Canis lupus familiaris: one gene and its partners. Each later gene encodes a partner of the first gene's protein in a complex. Links are inferred from orthologs where the notes say so. Each region holds a gene or a part of one and is shown on either strand. Other genes may lie near its edges.

What was found.
Region 2: the proteins of DNAJB13 (region 1) and NME5 are in contact, whole or in part, in a cryo-EM structure (PDB 8WZB), measured with the Mus musculus proteins. The link is inferred for Canis lupus familiaris from reciprocal best matches to the Homo sapiens genes DNAJB13 and NME5. Residues at the interface, in NP_705755.2 of Mus musculus: Thr156, Lys157, Lys158, Thr181, Ile182, Asp183, Arg185, Trp188, Arg189, Gly191, Thr192, Arg193, Ile194, Thr195, Phe196, Glu197, Pro281; in NP_542368.2 of Mus musculus: Glu52, His53, Asn56, Met193, Lys199, Pro200, Lys201, Leu202, Cys203, His204, Phe205.
Region 3: DNAJB13 (region 1) and DYDC1 share a complex: the UniProt entries of both Homo sapiens proteins name them as parts of the axonemal radial spoke complex. The link is inferred for Canis lupus familiaris from reciprocal best matches to the Homo sapiens genes DNAJB13 and DYDC1.
Region 4: DNAJB13 (region 1) and ROPN1L share a complex: the UniProt entries of both Homo sapiens proteins name them as parts of the axonemal radial spoke complex. The link is inferred for Canis lupus familiaris from reciprocal best matches to the Homo sapiens genes DNAJB13 and ROPN1L.
Region 5: DNAJB13 (region 1) and LRRC23 share a complex: the UniProt entries of both Homo sapiens proteins name them as parts of the axonemal radial spoke complex. The link is inferred for Canis lupus familiaris from reciprocal best matches to the Homo sapiens genes DNAJB13 and LRRC23.

What each region holds. Positions count from the first base shown.
Region 1 is NC_049242.1:24,440,474-24,445,124, forward strand, and holds the start of DNAJB13 (dnaJ homolog subfamily B member 13), read right to left. Parts: upstream 3,309-4,651; 5' UTR 3,222-3,308; coding exon 3,154-3,221; exon of another isoform or gene 3,055-3,153; intron 818-3,054; exon of another isoform or gene 1-817. UniProt on the Homo sapiens protein: Functions as part of axonemal radial spoke complexes that play an important part in the motility of sperm and cilia.
Region 2 is NC_049232.1:25,836,758-25,841,525, forward strand, and holds the start of NME5 (nucleoside diphosphate kinase homolog 5), read right to left. Parts: upstream 3,034-4,768; 5' UTR 2,897-3,033; intron 2,881-2,896; exon of another isoform or gene 2,813-2,880; intron 2,348-2,812; 5' UTR 2,302-2,347; coding exon 2,173-2,301; intron 1-2,172. Other genes in the region: BRD8 (bromodomain-containing protein 8), read right to left, coding at 3,902-3,952, 4,521-4,698. UniProt on the Homo sapiens protein: Functions as part of axonemal radial spoke complexes that play an important part in the motility of sperm and cilia. Does not seem to have nucleoside diphosphate kinase (NDPK) activity.
Region 3 is NC_049225.1:30,227,503-30,231,691, forward strand, and holds part of DYDC1 (DPY30 domain-containing protein 1), read right to left. Parts: intron 3,138-4,189; 5' UTR 3,129-3,137; coding exon 2,982-3,128; intron 2,504-2,981; coding exon 2,402-2,503; intron 1-2,401. UniProt on the Homo sapiens protein: Functions as part of axonemal radial spoke complexes that play an important part in the motility of sperm and cilia. Plays a crucial role during acrosome biogenesis.
Region 4 is NC_049255.1:4,035,709-4,040,389, forward strand, and holds the start of ROPN1L (ropporin-1-like protein), read right to left. Parts: upstream 3,126-4,681; 5' UTR 2,966-3,125; intron 2,815-2,965; 5' UTR 2,792-2,814; coding exon 2,661-2,791; intron 1-2,660. UniProt on the Homo sapiens protein: Functions as part of axonemal radial spoke complexes that play an important part in the motility of sperm and cilia. Important for male fertility.
Region 5 is NC_049248.1:7,958,288-7,963,023, reverse strand, and holds the start of LRRC23 (leucine-rich repeat-containing protein 23), read right to left. Parts: upstream 2,955-4,736; 5' UTR 2,818-2,954; intron 2,808-2,817; exon of another isoform or gene 2,595-2,807; intron 2,091-2,594; 5' UTR 2,070-2,090; coding exon 1,947-2,069; intron 1,854-1,946; coding exon 1,744-1,853; intron 1,348-1,743; coding exon 1,094-1,347; intron 523-1,093; coding exon 392-522; intron 1-391. UniProt on the Homo sapiens protein: Essential for sperm motility and male fertility. Plays an important role in the proper assembly of the third radial spoke (RS3) head and the bridge structure between RS2 and RS3 in the sperm flagella.

The DNA of each region.
Region 1 (4,651 bases):
CTGAAGAGCCTTCATAGGAAGGGAGCTGGGAATAAATATCCCAGTCCTACTCTCCTCCCTCCCAACCACCTGCCTTGGGCTGTCTTTAGGGGAATGCATTAGGAAGTCTGAAGGCCAGGGCATCTATCAATGCAGTTCAGATGGCCCAGCTTCCAGTGCAGAAAGCAGGGTTACAGAAAGGTAGGGAATGGGTCTGGAGGAGCCAAAGGAGGGCATCAGTGCAGGCCCCTGAACAGCTTAGTACAAATCTGACCCTGTGTACCCTCTGCTGGGTCAGAGTGCAGCTCCTCTGCCCTGCTCACGCCTTCTATGCTAGTGACCCCTTCTGCTCCTTTTCTTCTCACTCCACATACCGTCTGTGCACAGGCTCATCTATCCCAAGGCTTTGAGTACCACTCACTCGCTGACCACTCCCAAATCTCTGAAACTAGGACACTGAGCTCCAGACTTCTGTATCCAGCTGCCATCTTGGTATCTCCTCTCCAATATCCCACAGGCCCCACAAACTCAACGAGCCCAAAACCAAACACATTTTCATTCTCTAATATACTTTGTATACCTTCATTGACTTCAAGACAATTGTCATGACCTCCTTGAGGCTTTGAAACCAGCCCTTCTCAGTTACAAAGGTCAAAATCAGTTATGGAGAGAACAAGTAAAAGTAAGTAGGTTTGAGAAGAGTTCCATTTTCATATAAATTTGAGTGGTTGTAATATTTGCCCTGCAGTGCCACCACTCTGTTTCCCTGAGTGGGCAAGATGGAGTGGAGTCACAGCTTGGATGCAGCAGCCTAGACCGAATGAGAGATACTGAGAAGGTAAATAGCTGGGCAATTAGGAATCATCACAGTGCTTTTCTTTATTTTATACATTCAGCATTTGAGGTGGGGCATCAAAATCTAGGTGCTCTCGTATGGGACTCATCTCTTAAAGTTGTTATAAGAGAGAAGGGGGAAAATGGGGCAGTCTGGGTGGCTCAGCCGTTTAGCGCCGCTTCGCCCCAGGTGTGATCCTGGAGACCTGGGATCGAGTCCCATGGCCTGCTTCTCCCTCTGCCTGTGTCTCTGCCTCTCTCTCTCCCTGTGTCTCTTATGAATAAATAAATAAAATCTTTAAAAAAAAGAGAGAGAGAGAAGGGTTAAGAACTATTGTATGAAATACATGTGGTTCTTTTAATCACTCTTTATATGACATGATTTTTTGCTACAAATGATTGCTGGGCATTTCATGTTCTTTATCTCATATAATTCCATGTCAAGGGCAGCGGTTTAGCGCCACCTGCAGCCCAGGGCGTGATCCTGGAGATCAGGGATCGAGTCCCACGTCAGGCTCCCTGCATGGAGCCTGCTTCTCCCTCTGCCTGTGTCTCTGCCTCTCTCTCTCTCTCTCTCTCTGTGTCTCTATGAATAAATGAATAAAATATTTTTTTAAAATTCCATGTCAATACCACAACAACCCTTATAATTAATTATTATTTTTCTTAAAGAATTTATTTATTTGAGGGAGAGAGAGAGATTGCGCAAGACAGCACAAGCAGAAGGGATGGCAGGAGAGGGGGAAACAGGGAGCAATCCCAGGACCCTGGGATCATGACCTGAGCCAACCCACTGAACCAACCAGGTGCCCCAAACCTTATAATTATTATTTTAGAGATGGGAAAGCAGAGGCTCAGAGTGGTTAATTTGTCCATGTCACACAGCTAGCAGGTAGGAGAAACTAGATTCAGGCCTGGGTGTTTCCAGCGTTTAAGCTGGGCATGTATTTCTGCATTCCAACTCCTGTGACCTCTCCCTAAATGGCTTCCACTGGCCAAGGAGATGCTCTGAGCAGTGGGTGACATCACACAATATCCTGAATTGTTCTGTAATTGTCTCATGAGTTTGTGTCTTTTTTCTCCAGCTACACTGTAGATTCTCTCCCCTTACCCCACATAAATGCCCTACAGGACCTGACTCACAGTAGGCATGGTGTCTGGATACTGGTTCTGCCATTTACTAGGCACATGGCCTTGGGATAACAGTACCTACTTCTCAGAGTTGTGAGGATTAAATGAAATAATGATGGAAGGTTCTCAGAACAGTATCTGCACATTCAAAAACTGTATCACTACCCAACTTAATTAACTATATTATCCCAGATTCCTCCCTTTTTCTTTACCCTTCAATGACCCAATTAATAGCTAAATCCATTCTCTCTCCTCTCTCCAGCCCAGTATCCTTTTTCAAGCTTCATCTTCTGCCTTGGTTATCATGACAGACTCTGAAAGAGTCTGTCTCCTAAAATAAGTTTCCATAGCATTCTGTTCTTCCCTTTCTGTAACACTCATCACACTTATGACTTATTCAACATCTGTATTCACCACCAAAATTAAGCTGCGTATCTGATTCATGATTATATCTCCAGCTGCTACCACTGCACCTAACCATAGGGTAGGCACTCAATAAATATTCATCAAAAAACTTTTTTTTTTTTTTGAGAGAGAGAGAGAGAGCACACGTGAGAGCAAGCACAGGGAGTGGGGGTGGGAGGGTGGGGGGATGGTGCAGAGGTAGTGGGAAGGAACCGAGGGAAAGTGAGAATCCCAAGCAGTCTCAATGTGGAGCCCAAAGCAGGGATCAATCTCACAACCCCGAGATCATGACCCAAGTCGAAATCAAGTCAGATGCTTAACCAACTGAGCCATCCAGGTGCCCCCCCAAACCACATTTTTTTCATAAAAATGTGCTGACTCCTGTCCTTGACTTTCTTGGAAATGGACCACAAAGTCCCCATGACCTGATGAAAGTATTGAGAAATGCAGTTCAACATCAAAAACTCATTATAATTGCCAGAATAAAATCTGAAACACATCCATCTGGCCAGGTCACTTTCCTGTTCCTTTGGTTCTCCATAATCAGGATAAAGTTCAAATGTCTCCTTTGTTCGATTTTTATTCCTAGGAAAACCAGCATATCCAGGAGGGGAGACAGAGTAGAGGGGATAAAGGATGATGGATTGAGAACTCTGACCTAGTCCAAACCCAGGCTATAAATATGCAAGAAAAAACAAGGTTTACCTTGCCTGCCTTAAGCTGTGCAAGAAAGCTCAGTTTGGAAGAGATAAAGGTGGGGCTTTCTCCACACACCCCGAAAGCCTCACTCCAACCCCAACTTACGCCTTCTTGATCTCGGCATCCTCTGAATTTCGAGTGATCTGGAGCACGGAGTAATAATCCTGGCCCATGGCTGGTTGGCACTCAGTCCTTGGGTAATCCTGACACCAGCAGGGCTGTTAGTCTGCATTCTTTGGTTGCTCTGACAACCGCACAGGGGCCCTCTGGGAGTGGTAGTCCTTCCTGCCTAAGCAAACCTCCTGCTCAGTTTTGCTTCACAGAAAAGCCAATAGAAGAATTGGAAGAACAGGGGCTGATTCTGTGAACCTGATAAAGGTCACTCAACTCAGAATTTTTTTTTTTTTTTTTTTTTTAGATTTTATTTATTCATGAGAGACAGAGAGAGAGAGAGAGAGAGGCAAAGACATAGGCAGAGGGAGAAGCAGGCTCCATGCAGGGAGCCTGATGTGAGACTCAATCCCAAGACTCCAGGATCACGATCTGAGCCAAAAGCAGATGCTTAATCACTCAGCCACCCAGGTGTTCCTCAACTCAGAATTTTAAAGGAAAGTAGCTTTTTTCTTTTTTTTTTAGATTTTATTTATTTATTCATGAGAGACACACAGAGAGAGGCAGAGACATAAGCAGACACAGAAGCAGGCTCCTGATGTGAGACTCGATCCCAAGACCCTGGGATCATGACCTGAGCCAAAGGCAGATGCTCAACCACTGAGCCACCCAGGTACCCCAGGAAAGTAGCAATTAGTTTTATTTTTTTTATTTTTTTAAATATTTTATTTATTTATTCATGAGAGATACAGAGAGAGAGAGAGAGGCAGAGACACAGGCAGAGGGAGAAGCAGGCTCCATGCAAGGAGCCCAATGTGGGCCTCGATCCCGGGTCTCCAGAATCACACCCTGGGCTGCAGGCGGCGCTAAACCGCTGCACCACCAGGGCTGCCCAGCAATTAGTTTTAATGAAAAGTTATCAGAACAGGGGCGCCTGGGTGGGGCAGTCAGTTGAAGGTCCAACTCCTGGTTTTGGCTCAGGTCATGATCTCAAGGTTGTGACAGGGAACCCTGCTGGAGCTCCAGGTTCAGTGCGAAGTCAGAGTGGGCTTGAGACTCTTTCTCCTTCTCGCTCTGCCCCTCCACCTCCTCCAACACTTTTTCTCTCTCATAAATAAGTAAAATCTTTTTTTTAAAAAAAAGTTTCAGAACAAATGTATTTAGTTGATTTTTTAAAAATAGGTTTTACATTGTAGAATAATTTTAGATTTTCAGAAAAGTTAGGAACACAGTTCAAAATTCCCATATAAAAAAAATTCCCATATACCCCATACCTAGTTTCCTGTATGATTTTTTTCTGTATTTTTTTAAGTTTCCTGTATTATGATGGCTTACATGAATACGATATATTTGTCACAATAATATTGATACACCAGGGTTTTTTTGAATGCTCAATTTAGTGACATATTTTTAATTTTAATTCCAGTATAGTTAACATATTAACATGTTAACATACAGTGTTAAATTACTTTCAAGTGTACGATACAGTGAT
Region 2 (4,768 bases), on another chromosome or scaffold:
TTGATAATCTTCATTTTTAAAAAGATTTTATTTATTTATTTATTTATTTATTTATTTATTTATTTATTTATTTATTCAAAAGAGACACAGAAAGAGAGGCAGAGACACAGGTAGAGGGAGGAGAAGCAGGCTCCATGCAAGGAGCCCAATGCGGGACTCAATCCTGGAAATCCGGGATCATGCCCTGAGCCAAAGGTAGACGCTCAACCACTGAGCCACCCTGGCGCCCCAAGATTTTATTTTTTATGAGAGATACAGAGAGACAGAGACAGAGGCAGAGACGTAGGCAGAGGGAGAAGCAGGCTCCTGCGAGGACCTTGGGATCACAACCTGAGCCAACATTAGAGGCTCAACCACTGAACCACCCAGGCATCCCTGTTTGATCATCTTTAACACTCTTCTTACATACATTTTCAAACTTTTACCAATGCAGGATAAGGCTTAAAACATTAAATGGTTTTGTTTTTGTTTTTGTTTTTTTAAGATTTTATTTATTTGAGAGGGGGAGAAAGAGAGAGACAGGAGCAGGAGGAGGAGCAGAGGGAGAATCAGGCTCCTCGCTGAGCAGGGAGCAGGAAGCAGGATGAGGGACTTGGTCCCAAGACCTGGAGATCACAACCTAACCAAAAGGCAGATGTTTAACCGACTGAGCCACTCAGGTGTCCCGAAACATTAAATGTTTGTTGTTGTTTTTTTTAAGATTTTATTTATTTATTTATTATTTATTTATTTATTTATTTTTATTTATTTATGATAGTCACAGAGAGAGAGAGAGAGAGGCAGAGACACAGGCAGAGGGAGAAGCAGGCTCCATGCACCGGGAGCCCGATGTGGGATTCGATCCCGGGTCTCCAGGATCGTGCCCTGGGCCAAAGGCAGACGCTAAACCACTGCGCCACCCAGGGATCCCATTTTATTGATTTATTCATGAGAGACAGAGAGAGGCAGAGACACAAGCAGAGGGAGAAGCAGGCTCCCTGTAGGGTGCCCAATGCAGGACTCGATCCTGGGACCTTGTGATCACAACCTGAGTCAAAGGTAGATGCTCAACCACTAAGCCACCCAGTTGCCCCCATTTTGAAAAAAAATTCCGGGTGCCTGGATGGCTCAGGGATTGAGCGCACCTGCCTTTGGCTCAGGTTGTGATCCCGGGGTCCTGGGATCGAGTCCCACATCGGGCTTTACACAGGGAGCCTGCTTCTCTCTCTGTCTATGTCTCTGCCTCCCTGTCTGTGTCTCTCATGAATTAATAAATAAAATCTTTAAAAAAATAATTGAAAAAAATTCCAACAATCTAAAAGCCCATCAATTGAGGAACAAGTAAATAACTTGTGGTTCATTCACACAGGGGAATATTACACAGAAGTTAGGAAGAATGAGAGATTCAGATATAATAACTGAGCAACTTTGTAAAAGGGGTCAAGGGAAGAAGACTGTCCTATTTTATAGGGGGAAATGTTTGTAAATGCTTACAAAAATCCTGCAAAGAAAAAAAATATCCTGCAAAGACAGAAGGCACTAAGTAGTTGCCTTTTCTGGAGATTGAGACTTGGGTGAGAGAGGAGAGGAGGAAAAGGAATTTTAATTCTCATTTTAGGGATCCCTGGGTGGCGCAGCGGTTTAGCACCTGCCTTTGGCCCAGCGCGATCCTGGAGACCCGGGATCGAATCCCACGTCGGGCTCCCAGTGCATGGAGCCTGCTTCTCCCTCTGCCTATGTCTCTGCCTCTCTCTCTCTGTGTGTGTGACTATCATAAATAAATAAAAATTAAAAAAATTAATTCTCGCTTTATATCCTTTTGAAAAATGAAAGAATTTATTTAATTTTTTAAAGATTTTATTTATTTGATAGAGAGTACAAACAGGGGGAGTGGCAGAGGGAGAGGGAGAAACAGGCTCCCCACTGAAGTGGGGAGTCCTATGCAGATCCTGGGACCCTAGGATCAAGACCTGGGCAGAAGGTAGATGCTTAACCAACTGAGCCACCCAGGTACCCCCTGAAAAAAACTTTAAAACTAACACATATAACTTTTATACTGAAAAATTAAAATAAATCTAAGTTTAGTACTAAGCACTAAAGCACTGAATAGGTTAACATATTTAAACTTTTTCTTTTTTTTTTTTTTAAGGAGCAAAGAGAATAAAAACCATCATCATCATGCCCAGAAGTTACCTGAACAATGGTGAATCCAGATCTGAGAATAATATCCTGTATCTCCTCCTCTTTGTCAGCAATATCTGGTTTGATAATAGCCAAAGTTTTTTCTACATATATCTGAGGTGGGGGCATTGATAGCTCCATTCTGCCTTTCCAGGGTACAATTTAGGAGATTCTCCACAGGTATCAACTGCAATGACATGCATCACCCCCACCCCAAATTTAATGTAATTGTGATTATAAACAGCATTATTAGGCGCTTGATTTTATTAGCTTATAAAGTTAGAAACTGCCGAATCTTTTTCGATAAGCAGTCTCAATAATACAATGGGGGGGGGGGGTGCGCCTCGCCTCGATGGCCCAGTCCAGGGAGCAGGTGCCTCCATCTCTGGATTGGGGTTCGAGCCCCAGGATGGGTGTAGAGATTACATAAATAAATAAACAAAAAGTACAATTTCTACTCTATGTCTAATTCATGCCCTTGGTTTTCCTAAACACTTTCGTTGAGGTACAGAGGCCAGGGGCAACCCGAAGGCCTGCGTGCGGCGCAGACTCTCGCAACTGCTGGTGAACTGTCTACCCTGCCCCCGCCCCCCCCCCACCCCCGCCCTTCTCCCGCCCCTCCCAGAAGGTCTTGCACTGGATCTGGCCTGACTGGAAAGCAGCATTCCCAGGTCCTAGTGCCAATTTGAAGTGCACTCGCAGACCCCACGGGAGCAGCCCTTCCGTACGCACTCACCCTGCCGCCCACTCCTGCTGGGCCACCGCAGCCTGTTGCTAAGAGACCCAAAGCAAAGTTCAGGGACGGTGGCTCCAGAGGGCCAATCCCAGCACAGCGCGTCACAGACTTTGGGTTCCTTTATAATGAAGAGAAGGGGCCACTACAAGTCTCTTTATTCCCCCCTTGCCAATCTTAGAGTACTAGACGTTTTCCAACATTGTCCTCATCTTATTTATTTTTTATTTTTATTTTTATTTTTTATTTATGATAGTCACACACACACACACACACACACACACACACACACACACACACACACACAGAGAGAGGGAGAGAGAGAGAGAGGCAGAGACACAGGCAGAGGGAGAAGCAGGCTCCATGCACCGGGAGCCCGACGTGGGATTTGATCCCGGGTCTCCAGGATCGTGCCCTGGGCCAAAGGCAGGCGCTAAACCAATGCGCCACCCAGGGATCCCTGTCCTCATCTTATTTAACCCTCATAGCCATTTCAAGGACACTTTAATTACATCAACCTTATAAATAATGAGACAAATCATAAGCACTCTCCCCTCATCCCACACCATCCCGTTCCAGACATTTTATGTAAGAACCCATGTCAAATACCTTACAGTCATTCTACCAGATGCTGTCCCATTTATTCCCTGATTCTGTAATCATTAAAAAAAGCAATCTTCAACTTGTGAAATAACATTTATTTATAGAGCAGTTATAAGAGTTGTTTAATTACATCTAAATCAAGCCTATGAAACAGAAAAAGTGAGCAACATTTACTGCATCACCCCAAATCTCAGCTTTCCCCATTTTTTAAATTGTCTACAGGCACCTTTGACTCCTTGGTTGTGACTTTAATGCATTTTTCTTACTAGAAAAGACAACAAAAAACTGGTAAACAAGTATTGGGATCTTCTCTGAGTCTCATATAAGAGGTCTCAATTCCAGAAAAGGTCAGGATAGCAGCTCTTGGTTAAGAGGTTTTCCATCATCTACAGGGTTGGCTGGTTCTCATTCCAAGCTATTTAAGTCTCTTCTTTTGTCTAACCAAATACTCAGCACCTACAGAGTCAAGGCAGATAGCAAGCTATGAATCTATGGAAAACTATAGAGATTAGAATGCAGTTTTCTTTTTTCTGCAGCAAGGTTTGACTATGCTTTTTTTCTTTCAAAGTATGATCCTGCCCAGAAAAGAAACCCTGAAAGGTCATCTTCTGGCTACAATGTCTTATTATTGTAGACGGGACAGTATGAATCTATATCAACAGGTAGCAACCAAAAAATGGATAGTGATTCCAGCCTCTGGTTCGCATGTTTAGCTCTCTGACTTGAGGCTCCGGAAGCAGGAGCTCCTATTACTTAGCTATCCCCAGCTCCCTTGAGACTTCTTTACAGCTGCCTGTCTTCCTATACTACTTTACTTCATTATCTATGAAAGCTAGTCCTACAGAGGCTTAGGGTTTTCCAAAGCAATAGGTACAATGTCATTATCTATGGGCCCTTAACCATGTCTAAACATAAATTCTGAGAACATAAAGTCACTTTAACACTACTCTTATTCTCATAGACTTTCTAAAATCAGATTCCAGAGACTGTACTCCTTTTTCTTACAGCTCTCTACATACAGTACCTGAATCTGCTCCAAGACTTCTCGCTGCATCTCCACAGCCATATGGTACACATGGTGATCAGAGTCATTGTACATCACAGCATTTTGGAACATCAGCATCAGGTCTCGCTGGAACTGAGCCATGGTACGAATCCGTCCCTTAGACAGATTCCTTTTCAGGCTAGTTAAGTCCATAGGTCTACAGATGGCCAAGAGAAACCACAGGAAATCAAACCTTTATGTGGGACCTAACATTATCTCTTGGAGAA
Region 3 (4,189 bases), on another chromosome or scaffold:
TGGCCAACAGAACCAGTTTCTTAACGTTTTCAAGAAAACTTCAAAACTCAATTCCTTTCTTCACATAGGAGTAAAACCATTAGAAAGATATTCAAATTGATCAATCGATCAAACAAACAAATAAAAAGGTTTTACCTCCTAAGTGAGCTCTTAGGTTGAAAATGGCAGCCAATGCACTTTCCTGTTCACAGGGCCCAGGGCTTACTGGAGAGTGCCAAAAATTTCAAGGAATTTCAACCCAGTGGCACTGACTATGAGAACAACATGGAGGTGACCGGAGTCTTGACACTCAGGCTCACTTGACTCAACGGTGACTTCAGAGCGTCTCTCTGTTTCTGTGCATCTCGGCCTCACTCTCTCTTAAGCTCTTCTCCTGTAGACCTTCTCTGCACAGGCTCCCTTTCCTTCTCCCGTCTATTTCTGGCCACCAAGCTGTTTCTTTAACGGTCATAAAATCTTCTGCAGAACGTTCTTGTTATCTTCCAATCCCAACACAATGCTCAGGGTTCAGTGTACAGTGGATCCCTTCACACCCATCAATAGGATACAGCTAGAGAAGTGCTTGATTTCTAGGATTGCCAAATTTTCGCTAAGTAAGGTAAGTAGAAGAGCCAAAGAAAGTTAAGTACCCCCACATTTGTGATGGAATTGTCTTGAGGAAGATGTTCTCCTCAGTCTGAGAGACAGGGGACAGATACTAGTTGTAGAAGCTGAAAGAGGAAGAGCAGATTCTCACTCAAAGTTGGGGCAATTCTGCAGCAGAATGTTTGCCCATTTGGATGATTGTTTGATATCTGGCTCCACGCTCTGCAACTTCCACATAAGAATAAACCAGGGATTCCTGGGTGGCGCAGCGGTTTGGCGCCTGCCTTTGGCCCAGGGCGCGATCCTGGAGACCCAGGATCGAATCCCACGTCCGGCTCCCGGTGCATGGAGCCTGCTTCTCCCTCTGCCTATGTCTCTGCCTCTCTCTCTCTCTCTCTCTCTCTCTCTCTCTCTATCATAAATTAAAAAAAATAAAAAAAGATTAAAAAAAAATAAGAATAAACCAAACGATTGAAAAATGAAGATTCAGGAGCAGTGAAGTTTTCAATAGCCTTATCTGTCTCGGGTGCCTAGAATGTTCTATCCCAGTAGCAGAGGTGACAGGTTAGGCAGAGAAGCTATTCGCCACGTCTATAGTTTCCTTTCTATTCACACACCCAAACAACAGGCTTCTAGACTGGAGTCGAGACCCTGGAGTTAAGGACCGTGTGGCAGAACAATAGGAATAACTTAGATCTAGTTCAGAAGCTGTCCATAAATTAAATTAGTCCAAAAGCCACTCTGGAACCTTCCCTGTCTAGTTTACAATCCATGACTCATCCCTGAAACCATTCTCTTCCCAGCACCTTCAGCTCCCCAACGTGCTACCCTAAACCCACGTCAGTCACAGGCGCTGCCCCTTGCACATCATCACTCAGGCCTTCAGGCCTAAGTGAAGAAAAATTACAGGATCATAAAACCAAACTAGCTGGCAACATTATAAATGCCTGGTCTCGGGGCGCCTGGGGTGCTCAGCAGTTGAGCGTCTGCCTTTGACTCAGGGCATGATCCCGGGGTCCTGGGATCAAGTCCCACATCGGGCTCCCCTGCAGGGATCCTGCTTCTCCCTCTGCCTGTGTCTCTGCCTCTCTCTGCGTGTCTCATGAGTAAATAAATAAATAATCTTTAAGAAAATATATGCCTGGTTTCTAACTCTGACAGGGTACTCAATGCTACCAGGTAATGCTAAGTTTCCCAGTCAATGCTACCATTCTACAAAGCTACTATTTCAAAACCATCACCACTCTCCCCGCACCTGCCATTTTATCGCCTCATTCTTGGAAGATGATCATCATCCCTACTTCATAAAGAAGAAAGAGTCATGAAGAAACTGTTTTAAACTTCGTGCCATAAAACCTATACACCCACATGTACCTAGACCATCCTCTCCCTCTTAACATCAACCCCCTCCTGCCCCTCTGCTCTTAAAAAAACCCAACCTCCTTCTCTGAAAAATCCCCTTGAAAGCATCACCTAAACTCACCATCTTCCCTGTTACATCCCACCCCCCACACACCATGGTCTTGAATGAGCACTTTGCAGTCTTGCTCTCACTCAACCAACAGTAGGCATGGCTGACCCCTTGGGTCTCTCCCCTTGACCTTCATGAGAGCACACTCCCTGGGTTTTCCTCCCACTCCACTGCTGCTGCTTCTCCGGCAAAGAAGACACAGATACAGAAACACAGGAACACGAAGATAGAAGAGAGCCACTGCTAACTAATTAGAGATGGGGAGGTTTTCAGTATTTGGGTTGCACCACACTGAGGCTGACAAAGCTCACTCCAGTGTCCCCCAAACTCCCATGCATGTCTCACCTGCTGAAACAGGAGTTCTTCGGCTTTGAGCCTCTCCATCATCTCCTGCTCAATCTCAGCTAGTTCTCTTTCCCGCTCCAAGTTAGCCATTTCCTTCTGTCTCTAGCAGGGTTTTAAAAGCAATTACCACATGACTAATTTGAGGCAGAATAATTTGTAAAAACAATCTTGAAAGAGTGTTAATCACCAATGACAGGGAAAAGGGGAAGCAAATTTTATTCAACCATTTAGAAAAGGTGCAATAATTTGGGGAGATATGTGTTTTATTTGAACAAAGAGCATAAAATTACAATTATACATTGGGTATGATCATAATTATGTAAAAAACAAAATCTACAAGTGCATAGGAAATGTACAGAAAAAAGACTAGAAGAAAATACCTAAAAATCTAAAAAGAAATCTTCTCTGGGGTATTTTTTATTCTTTCTGTTTTTTTTTTCATATTGTCCAAGTTTCTTCTATAATAAACATACTTACTATTTTTATAACAGAAATAACATTGAACTTTTTATTAAAAAAGTAGACAAACTGGACCAGTTATCTTATTCTTCTAATTTTCTAAAAGAAGATCCCTACTTACCAGTTGCTCCATGGTCACATTTTCCTTATATTTATAAATCCACAATGCTAAATATTCTATTGGATCCACTGGGCGAATTCTTGCCACTTCTGCAAGACCTTGAGTTAGACATGTCCCAAGGTGCTTTTGCAGATATGTCGACTCCATTTCTCCCCCCTGATTTCAAAAAGGTAAATGTTTTTGCATTAATGCAGGAAATGTTCAGTAAGTCACACTAAAAGCAGAGTCCAGTGAGGCCAACGGAGCACTGCATCCTGTCATGGGCACCTCCCACCAAGGATGACACTAGCAAGCTGGCTTGGTGAAACACCTAACAATTTCCAAAAGGACTCCACCGATGTCACAACAATTACCACTACTAAGAAGCACTTTCAAAATCCTGTAGGATCTCAAGGTTGAGATTCAGAAATGAACAACAAACATAACCCCCAACCAGCAAAGGGAAGAAAGTAACAAAGGTTAGAGCAGAAATAAATGATAAAGGAACTAAACAAAAAAAGATGAAAAAAAAAGTCAGAAAAAAGGGTACCGTCATGACTGTGAGACGGCCATGTGCCAAGCAGGGCATGTCTCACTCAATCCTCACAACAGGGGCCAAAAATCAGTGTCATCAGCCCACTGTGCGGGTGAGGAAGCCCAGGCGTAAGGGGCGTAGGTCAACGTGGTGAACATGGGATTCGTACCCAACTCTTGATTCCAGAGTCATAATCTTTGTGACCCAGATGTTCCTCCCAAGCCACGAGGGTAGTTTTAGAAAATCATAATACCCATAATATCATAATACTCTACCTCAAAAATAAAAACAAACAAACAAAAAACCCCAAAAGTCCATGAATCTCCAAGGACAAAAAAGTAAACAAAAAAATTCAACCTTCGAGGAATAGCATATGAAGCTCCTCACACTTTGGCCCCAATTTCTTTTTTTTCTTTTAAGACTTTATTTATTTATTCATGATAGACACACAGAGAGAGAGAGGCAGAGACACAGGCAGAGGGAGAGGCAGGCTCATGCCAGGAGCCCGACGTGGGACTCGATCCCAGGACTCCAGGATCACACCCTAGGCCAAAGGCAGGTGCTAAACCGCTGAGCCACCCAGGGATCCCCTGGCCCCAATTTCTTCTCAGGCTCACCCCAGACCTCTCCCCTGCCGCCAGCATATCCTGGGCTCTGACAACCCTCAGCAGTCTGCCATCCTGACAGCCACGCC
Region 4 (4,681 bases), on another chromosome or scaffold:
GGGAGGCACGGGGGCTCAGTTTTGCCATATTGTTCCTCACTAGGGTTTTCACCTACTCCGGGACTTTATTCCTCCTCCTCCTCACCGACCGAACCCATCACCCAGCTCCACACCCTCTAGAGCAGTGGTTCCCAACAGTCCTCCCACCCACTGCCCCGGGGGCAAAATCTGGAGACCTCTGTGGTTGTCACAAGAGGGGGTGGGTGGTGCTACTGGCCTCTAGCGGGTATAGGTCAGGATGCTGCTCAGGGTCCTACTGCCCAGACACCCGCATACCCCCACACTCCCCAGCCATTATCCTGTCATGGGCTCAACAGGGCCAAGGCTGAGAGTCTGCAAGAGGGTCAAGCCTCCCGGTGCTAGTCCCTGGAGGCACATGCGAGCAGAAAGCAGCCTCTAGCACTGGACCAATTCTCACACACACACACACCCCCCCCCCCCCGTCACCCTGTGCGGGGCACCCTGCGCGGGGCACCCTGAGAGGGGCACCCTGCGTGGGGCACTGGTGACAGAACACAGACGGTCCCCTAGTGGCCGCATCAAGCTGGGGGCCAGGCTGATGGACCTGTGCACCTGAAAGCCTTGCTTGTGCATCTTCCCCAGCAGGTACCCACCTGTGATTCCTGGTTCTCTGCTTTGTTTTTAGCTTTTTTGTTTTTCTTCTTGTCACCTCTCCTTTGTTCGTATGCTGTTCCTCTCCCCGGAATGCCCTAGCCTTGTCTTAACCTCAAAGAGCAATTCGCCCTCTTCTGAGCAACCTCTCACCCCAACAGATGCTGCGACAGCTGGGATTCATACAAGCCCATTTCACACGCACCACTTAGTGAATGACGCCTGCTTTTCCTCCTAAGCTCCAAAATTGTTGAGAGAAAATTAGTTGCATGGAACATCCAGAAAGTTCTCAATTATGCCTTTTAAATTAAAGTGAAGCTTAAATTAAAATAATTTAAAGTCCCAAGAAAGAAAATGATTTAATCTCGGAATGTTCTGTTAAGTACAAATAATAAATGTTATTGTACAGAACAAATGTTCTGTTAAGTACAAGTACAAAGGACGCTTGTGCGTCCTTTCATTGATGCTTGAATGACGGTTAAAACCAGAGGCCATGATTTTTTTGGGCAAGACCCTTGAGAGAATCTTGCAGAAGCAACTGACAGAAGTGCCTGTCACAAGGTGAAGCACTGGATTAATAAGTAGCCTTGTGGTGGGTTCACTAAGGGCCCCTAATCCTGGAAGCTGTGTATCTTATTTTGCATGGTGACAGGAACTGTATAGATGTGAGAGAGGATTCTGAGGTAGAAAAATTATCCTGAATTATCTTGATGGGTCCTAAATGCATCAGCTTTAAAGATGGAGGAAGGGGCCATGAGCCAAAGAACACAAAGAATGCAGCTCCAAAAGCGGGAAAAGGCAAGCAAGCAAGCGATTCGATTCTCCGTAGGGCCTCTGACAATTTGACTTTAGCTAGGTGAAACGGATTTTGGACTTTCAGCCTCCAGAACAATAAGACAATACATGCCTGTTGTTTAATCCATCAAAATCTGTGGTTATTTGTTATAGTGGCCAAAGGAAACTAACTCACCTTGGTTATTTATACCATTTAGAGGTCAGTGAAATCTGACATGCTAGTTACTAAAACATTTAATTTTTAAAAAAGATTTTACTTATTTGAGAGAGAGAGAGAGAGAGAGAGCGCGCATGAACAGGGGGAGGAGCAGAGACAAAGGGAGAAGCAGATTCTGCTGAACAAGCAGCACCACCTGGGGCTGGATCCCAGGCCCCTGAGATCATGACCTGCCAAAAGAACACGCTTAATTACCGAACTACTCAGGTGCCCCAAAACATTTAATTTTATACTGGTTCTTGTAATCATAAAATTGAGTTTCTAAGTCTGTCTACTGAAGAGAGGCAAAGAGCTTTCCTTTCGAAACCTAATGGGTTTACTTTAAAGGTTCTAAGGCCTGTTAACTTTGTAACTTTGAAACTATGACCATTCCTGAAAATAGCTACAATGCTGCAAGAAAGGGTGAAGGCTTATTTGCCTTCTGGGAACTAAGTTGAGCAAAGTTTAACCTTATTGCAGCATTGGGATAATTACCCCAACATGACCTCGGGGGCTTTGATCTAAGAAACTTAGCGCCGCCTGCAGCCCAGGGCATGATCCTGGAGTCCCACGTCGGGCTCCCTGCATGAGCTTGCTTCTCCCTCTGCCTGTGTCTCCGCGCCTCCCCACCGCCCCCGAATAAATGAATTTTTGAAAAATCTTAAAAAAAAAAAAAAAAAAACTCAACAGGGTGGGAGGATTCTCCAGAATGAGCAGCTTAGCCTTACAAGAAACCTTGTAAAAAACCATTTCACAAATAAAATAAAGGGAGTGGAGTAGTTTGATTTTATCACACAATGCAGAAACTTTTTACCGAATGCAATCGCTTTTTAAGTTTCGGTCTGAGCAAGTACCAGTCTCCAACAGTGGAGCTGTCATGCCTTTGCAGGAAAGGGAGCATTTGGCAGCGACTGCTGGGAAACTCAATCAACCGGGATGGTTCCTAGACAGGTCCTCAGGTGCAGACACCACCCGCGCGTCGCACCGGGGCTGCAGGCGGGAGGGCCAGGGGCACGACCCGGCTCGCAGACCGGCCGGCGGCCACCGAGGCGCTTACCCCGCGGACCACTGCAGCACATCGGCGGGCTGGGTGCGGATCGCAGCCTTGGTGAACTGCTTCAGGATGTCCGGCAGCTCCGGCGGAATCTGGATCTGCTGCGCGCAGAACATGGTGTCGGGCAGCGGCATCGCTCTCCGCGGACCGGACCAGGCTGGGAAGAATCAAGATGGGCTGCGTGGAGGAGGGCGAACCCGTGGGCCTCGGGCTGCCCTGCCTCCCCCGGATTTGGAGCCCGGCGGGGGGACCGGGGGCGGCCAGGAGGCCGGCTTCGCGAGGTCCGGGCGGCCGGCCGGGGGCCTCACCCGCTCCTCCTCGGGCTCCTGGGGCTCCGCGGAAAGTGAGGACCAACTGCCCCTCCCCGCGACCGCCCGAAAGCGCCCGCGGCAGCGATTGTTTCGCGGAGTATCCAGGCAACCGGGACGCCCGCGGGCCCCGCCCCTCGGCTCGGCTCGGCTCGGCTCGGCTCGGCTCGGCTCGGCTCGGCTCGGCTCGGCTCGGCTCGGCTCGGCTCGGCTCGGGGCAGGCACTGCGCTTGCGCAGTCTGGCTCTGGCCTTTTTTTGCCTTTCGCTGAACGTTTCACTTAGATCATTTGATCGATTTCCCATTGCGATGTGAAGGGAGAATTCACAAGCCCCCCCCCCCCCCCCCACACACACACCCTTTCCCTTGCTCTGGCTACGTGAGGCTTAAGGACTAGGGGGCTCGGTCGTCCTCGGAAGGAAGGCGTCACGGCCGCGGGGCCGGTCGGCGCAGGGAGCACGAGCGCCCCCGCGCGAAGGAACCTGCCCCTCGCCGTCCTCCCGGGTCTCGCTCAGGCTGCACGATGCCCGCCTGCCCCACGTCCAAACCATCTGCACCGCGTGCAAACCGAGCCCCCGTCTGCCATCCGGTCCGCGCCAAGCCACCGTCTAACACCCTGTCCAAGCCGTCCAGGCCTTCAGACCTTCACTCGCGCTGTTCTCACTGCCCAGGCCTTCCGATTTAAGAGCCACTTCAAGAGTTTAGACGGGGCGATTTTCAGCTCAAGACAATGATTGAGGCTGATTGGGTCTAGAAGGACATAAACTGTCTTCGGATACATGAACTTTGGGTCAAAGGATAGGAGAGCTACTCGGTTCTGGTGAATCCTGACCAGGGCAGCATACAAGGTGTGAATCAGAGCTGTGGCTACCCACCTGCCTTCCCCTGCTCACTTCTAGCCAGAAAGATGGAGACCTAGACCCGGCTATTTCCAGGAGTCGTCAATGACAAACCCTTCCTCCTGCCCTAGAGGTATCACCCCCATCCATTACTCCCCCACCAGGGGACACATTTCCAAATTAACGGCACACTAGCAAAAACTGAAAAGTCACTATTTAGTGTTGATGCAAAATGGAAAAACAAGGAATCTCCTACAATGATGACAGAGGTGTTAATTAGTACATTCTGGGGGCCATTTGGCACTGTATTTTGATGACTTAGCAATCTATAGATTTATCCTATAGAAATACTAGCCTGAGTATATAAAGTAATATGGACCAAAATGTTTAGTAAAGCACATAATAAAATTGGTAAACTAATTCTTTCAGAACATTTTAAATCATAATCTTAGCCACACAACAGAAAATAATTCAGCCAGAATTTTAAAATAAGATAGCTACTTAGGTATTGACATAAAAAGATGTTCACGAAATATGAAGTGAAAAAAAGCACCTAACAGAGCAGAGTCTGTGAATATACATTTACCTGTTGCACATTCTGGGAGCAAACACTAAACTACTGACTGTGGTTACCTCTGGAGAATGGCACATGGTTTTGTTTTTACCACATACACATTATTTTGATTCTGATCCATCCATTCATTTACTCAAGTGTATTTACTGAATGTTAAGTATGTCCTAAGAACTGTTCTGAAATATAGTAATAATCCCAACATAGTTTTAAAAAAATCTCTTGAAGGGATCCCTGGGTGGCGCAGCGGTTTGGCGCCTGCCTTTGGCCCAGGGCACGATCCTGGAGACCCCGGATCGAATCCCAC
Region 5 (4,736 bases), on another chromosome or scaffold:
ACTGCTCCACTGAGGAGGAATGCCTTCAGCACCATCCTAGAATGAAGAAGCTCACAAGTCAAAAAGACTTAACATTTCAGTGGCTCCCTTGGCTTGATATCTGTACCTGGGTTATGGCAAATTATGCTACAACCTGTGTCAAAACAAATTGTCTCTATTCTCATGTATTATGCATTAGCAGCCCTGCTAGGTAGTAAGGATCTTGTCTGTTTTAATTTTGCATCCCCACAGCATCTGGCACCAAGTGAGTGCTCAATAAATGATAATGATAAATGAACCAAATGATCGTGATGATGATGGTGTTAGTAGAGCCTACTAGAAGCCAGGCATCCTGGCCCCCAGAACACCACCCTTTTCCCTACACCAACCACCCTCTAACCCAGCGAGCTACCAGGTAGAGGTTCTTCAGCTTAGGAAGATTGATTCCCAGAGTGCTCTCCAGCTGGTTCCCCCGAAGCTCCAGTGTGTGCAGGCTGAGCAGCTTCTGGGGGTCCAGACCTGTCACCCTGCGGATGCGGTTCCCTAAGGAGCAGGAGAGTGTTAAGAACTCAGAGGACCGCTTCAAATGTTCAGCAGCAGAGCCTGAATGTTGGGAGCCTCTGCATCATCCTCTCCCTCCCATATGAGGTGGCTATGAGGAGGGACAGCTCCAGACTTAACACCTCTGGGGCCCTGGGGCACTCCTCCTCCCTCAAATCTTGGCTCAGATGTCAGCTTTTCAATGACCCTTGTCCTAACCAACCTGTTTGCAGTTGCTACCTGTGCCTATCTCTAGTCCCTTTATCCTAATCTATTTTCCACCACACATATCTCCTCTTAACATACTCTATAGATTTACTTAGTTATTACGTTTACTGATAGTTGTCTGTCTCCCCCTGACTAGAATGGAAGCTGTATGAGACTAGGGATTTTGTTTGTTCACTGCTACATCTCCAGCACATAGAAATGTCATAATGGAGCATAAGGACTGTCTGAATGAATGGATGGATGGATGGAAATTGCTGTGTGGCACAGCCAAAGACCACACTGCCCACTTCTGTTGGCCCCAAGCTAGGAAGGAGAGAACCTTGTGTAGCCCAACTTAAGGACCTACCTTTGAGATCCAGGCTGCCCAGACGAGGGTGAGAGATGCCCTCAGTGTCAGTGATCTGGTTATGGGCAAAACTGGCAACCTGCAGGTAGGGCAGTTCATTCAGCTGGGCACTCCGCAGATTGTTGCCATCAGCCTTGAGCCAGAGCAGGTGGGTAAGGTAATTGAGTGGCGACAAGTCTGTCAGGTGGTTCTCAGAAACATCCACATAGCGCAGATGGATGTAGGAACGCAACAAGTAGATGTCTGTCAGGTCCCTAAGAGATGAAGGAGGCCAGAGTTAGGGTTAAGTACCCAGTAAGGAGCAGAGGTGCTAAAGCAGAGGACAATGTGGAGATGGAGAAGAATGGGTGACTGATGGGAGTGGTGAGGGAGGAGGAGAGAAGATAGGTGGGTTCTTAACAGTGATCAGGGGCATATGTCTGCAAAGAGCCGAGAACTGACATTCTGATGGACAATTGAAGGAGTCCAGTAGGAATTCCCCAGGCTAGCTCTAATGTGGGGAGTCACAGGGCTCTGGAAAAGCAAATTCTATCCTTCCCTTCCACTGGCCAGAGTAAGAGAGATCCAAACTCCCAGCAGCAACACCCAGGAATGAGGGTGAGAAAGGAGATTGGGCCCTACGACGGCAGCCTGGTCCTCCATAAGCGCACCTCTCTTTAACCTCCAGCTTGACATAAGCATGAGCCAGTCCATTGCCTGTCTTACAGAGCAAAGAAAGCCCTTCCTTCAACATGTCCTCTGTGAGTGGCGTGGGCATCCACTGCAAGAGGAAGTGGAATCAGGCATCCCCTTCCAGCCCAACCCCATCCCTTAGCCTTAGGACCCCACCAATTCCAGGATTTCATGCTCTCACTTCCTCTGAGTACTCCTCTCCCTCCTTCTTGTAGTCCTCCCACTCCTCTGTTTCCTTCTCATCATCTTCCTTTTCCAGATCATCCTGATCTGGCTCGAAATCTTCCAGGTCTTCATCTGACATCTTTCTTCTCTGCTGACGACTCTGGAGTAACAGATCAAGCTCAGTGCCCCTCCCAAGAAAGAATGTCTGTCTCCTCGGCTCTCTGATCCCTTGCCTCCATTGACGGGATACCCTTCCCATCCATCATCCCTGACCTCCTCCCAACTGCGTTTCTCTCCTTATCCCTGCGAACACCTCATTTTGACTCCCAGCCTCCACTTCTGATGTCCCACCAAGGACTTCTGTCCCTTCAGTACGCCTTTCCAGGCCTTTCCAGCCCTCCAGCGGGGCTCCAACTGTCTCATTGTAGCTCCGCCTCCCTGCTTCTTGGCCTTCTCCTCCCCAGTTCTTCCCACCTCCTCCTTAAGCCACGTTCCCCTACCAACCTCCTACAACCCTCTCCTCCTTTCTATTCCTAACTCATGCTCCATTCATTTCTTTTTTACTTTCCCACCCTAACTAGCCCCATTTCCCTGTCCCCTCTGGGGCACCAGACTGACGCAGTCTCCAACCCTCCCACCCAATCCTTCGCAGAGGGGCGCAGACCCTGGCTCTGCTCCGCTAAAGGTGAGGTTCCGGAGAGGGTCTTGGCTCTGACTGGGAAAGGTTGTTTTGGAAGAGGGGAAACGCTCAAGGAGGCGTTGTGTACTGCTGTTATGGCAACGAGGGGGCGGGACACTTGGCTACTTCTTTGGGGCAACCGCTGAGAGGAGGGCCTCGAGGGGCCCGCGACAAACTGAACGGAAAATCCGCCCCAGAGCAAGCGGACCTTTAGTCGCCGGGTAAAGAGGCCAAATTCCCAATCCGATTACAAGCGTTAATTGGCAGGTAGCAGGAAGCAGTGGGTGGGGCTTGGAACTGAGAAGTGGGAGGGGAGATGGGTGGGGCTATGCGAAGTCACTCCAGACGTTAAAGGGACCGCACATCCTCAAAACAAAAGTATTGTGAATTCCAAAGAAATATGCTCTGAAGCTAAAGGGGGAAGAGGAGCAAGAAATCCCAAGGTACGTGGTCTGGTTTCTACTCCCACCCCAGCCTTGCACTCAGTTGATCTTTGGAAGGTGGCTTGGTGGAGTGGAAGGAGCCCAGGCCAATGTACCTTAAGACCTGGGTTGAAGTCTTGGCAGATCTGCAGTTCACTAGCAGCTTACCTAAGACTACTTTCTCATCTGTAAAATAGGCTTAGCTACACCAACTGAGGGGTATGAGTGCGAGCGTAATCTATGCTAGTACATTGTAGATTGCTAAACCCAATCTACAATGGGTTGGGTTGTAGATTGCTTCTCACTTTTCCTCATAACTTGGACTAGTTTGATACAAACTTCTTGGGGGTGCTAATAAGAGAGAAAATCCAACAAGTGCCCAATGAAAAACTCTTCATCCAACGTTGTTATATAGACAACAAGACCTGATAGAGCCATGCCCAGGCACTCAGGTCTGTGTGACTTGTTGAAAGAGATGAGAAAAAAGTTAAGATTCAACAAATATTTCCAGAGCATTTGTGTCAGATACTGTATGAGATGCTTTCACAAGTGATTTAATTTTTACATCAATCCTGTGAGATAAATACTTGAAAGAAGAGGAAACTAAAGCTCAGGGCAGTTAATATTTATGACACAATTCCTGCCGGGAGAAAGGAAGACAGTACCAATCTTTTTTAAAAAATATTTTATTTATTTATTCATGAGAGACACAGAGAGAGAGAGAGAGAGAGAGAGAGAGAGAGGCAGAGACACAGGCAGAGGGAGAAGCAGGCTCCACGCAGGGAGCCTGATGTGGGACTTGATCTGGGGTCTCCAGGATCACACCCTGGGCTGAAGGCGGCGCTAAACTGCTGAGCCACCAGGGCTGCCCCAAGACAGTACCAATCTTATGGAATCTAATATAAATAAAACAATTAGGCAACAAGGTAAGAAATCATATGATTGTTAAATTGTGTGTTACAGATATTATAAAACACGCAAAGTGATCTAATGGAAGATGTGGTGGGCTGGAAATCAGGACATGTTATCTCCTGCCCTGTCCAGCTTGGATAATACAGACAAATCTGTTTGAGGGACGCCTGGGTGGCCCAGTTGGTTAAGCGTCTGTCTTCTGCTCAGGTCGTGATCTTGGGGTCTTGGGATGGAGCCCACAGCAGGGACCCTGCCTCTCCATCTCCCCTGCCTGCCTGCTCCCCATGCTGTGCTCTCTCTCTGTGTGTCAAATAAATAAATAAAATGTTTTTTAAAAAAATCTATTCACTTGATATCATGGAACTAGTAGGGGCTGTAAAGTCAGACACACCAGGTTCAAAACCCACTCTACCATTTAATAGCTATGTGTTCCTCAGCAGGTTATATGATTTTACTGAGGTTTAATTTTCACATTTGTGAAATGGGGATAAACATGTCCACTTCCAGAAGAATTCTTAGAAGGTTAAAAGAGACAATAGGGGGAAACCGCCTTATACTTAGTTGACCCTCCTCAGCCAGGATCTCCCTGCCCTCCCCACTTCCCGCCTGTTTCCTCAGTCCTGGGATTGTTCTGTGGAGTAAGACAGTAAACATGAAAACACTCGAGAAGGTTAGAAATGCCGGTGCCAATAAATGATACCATATTACTGGAGTGGGAAAGGAAGAGTCCATGTGGTTTGATGTAGCCAAAGGGAAAGGATGTGGTTTTTCACTGGCCCAGAAGAAAGAAGAA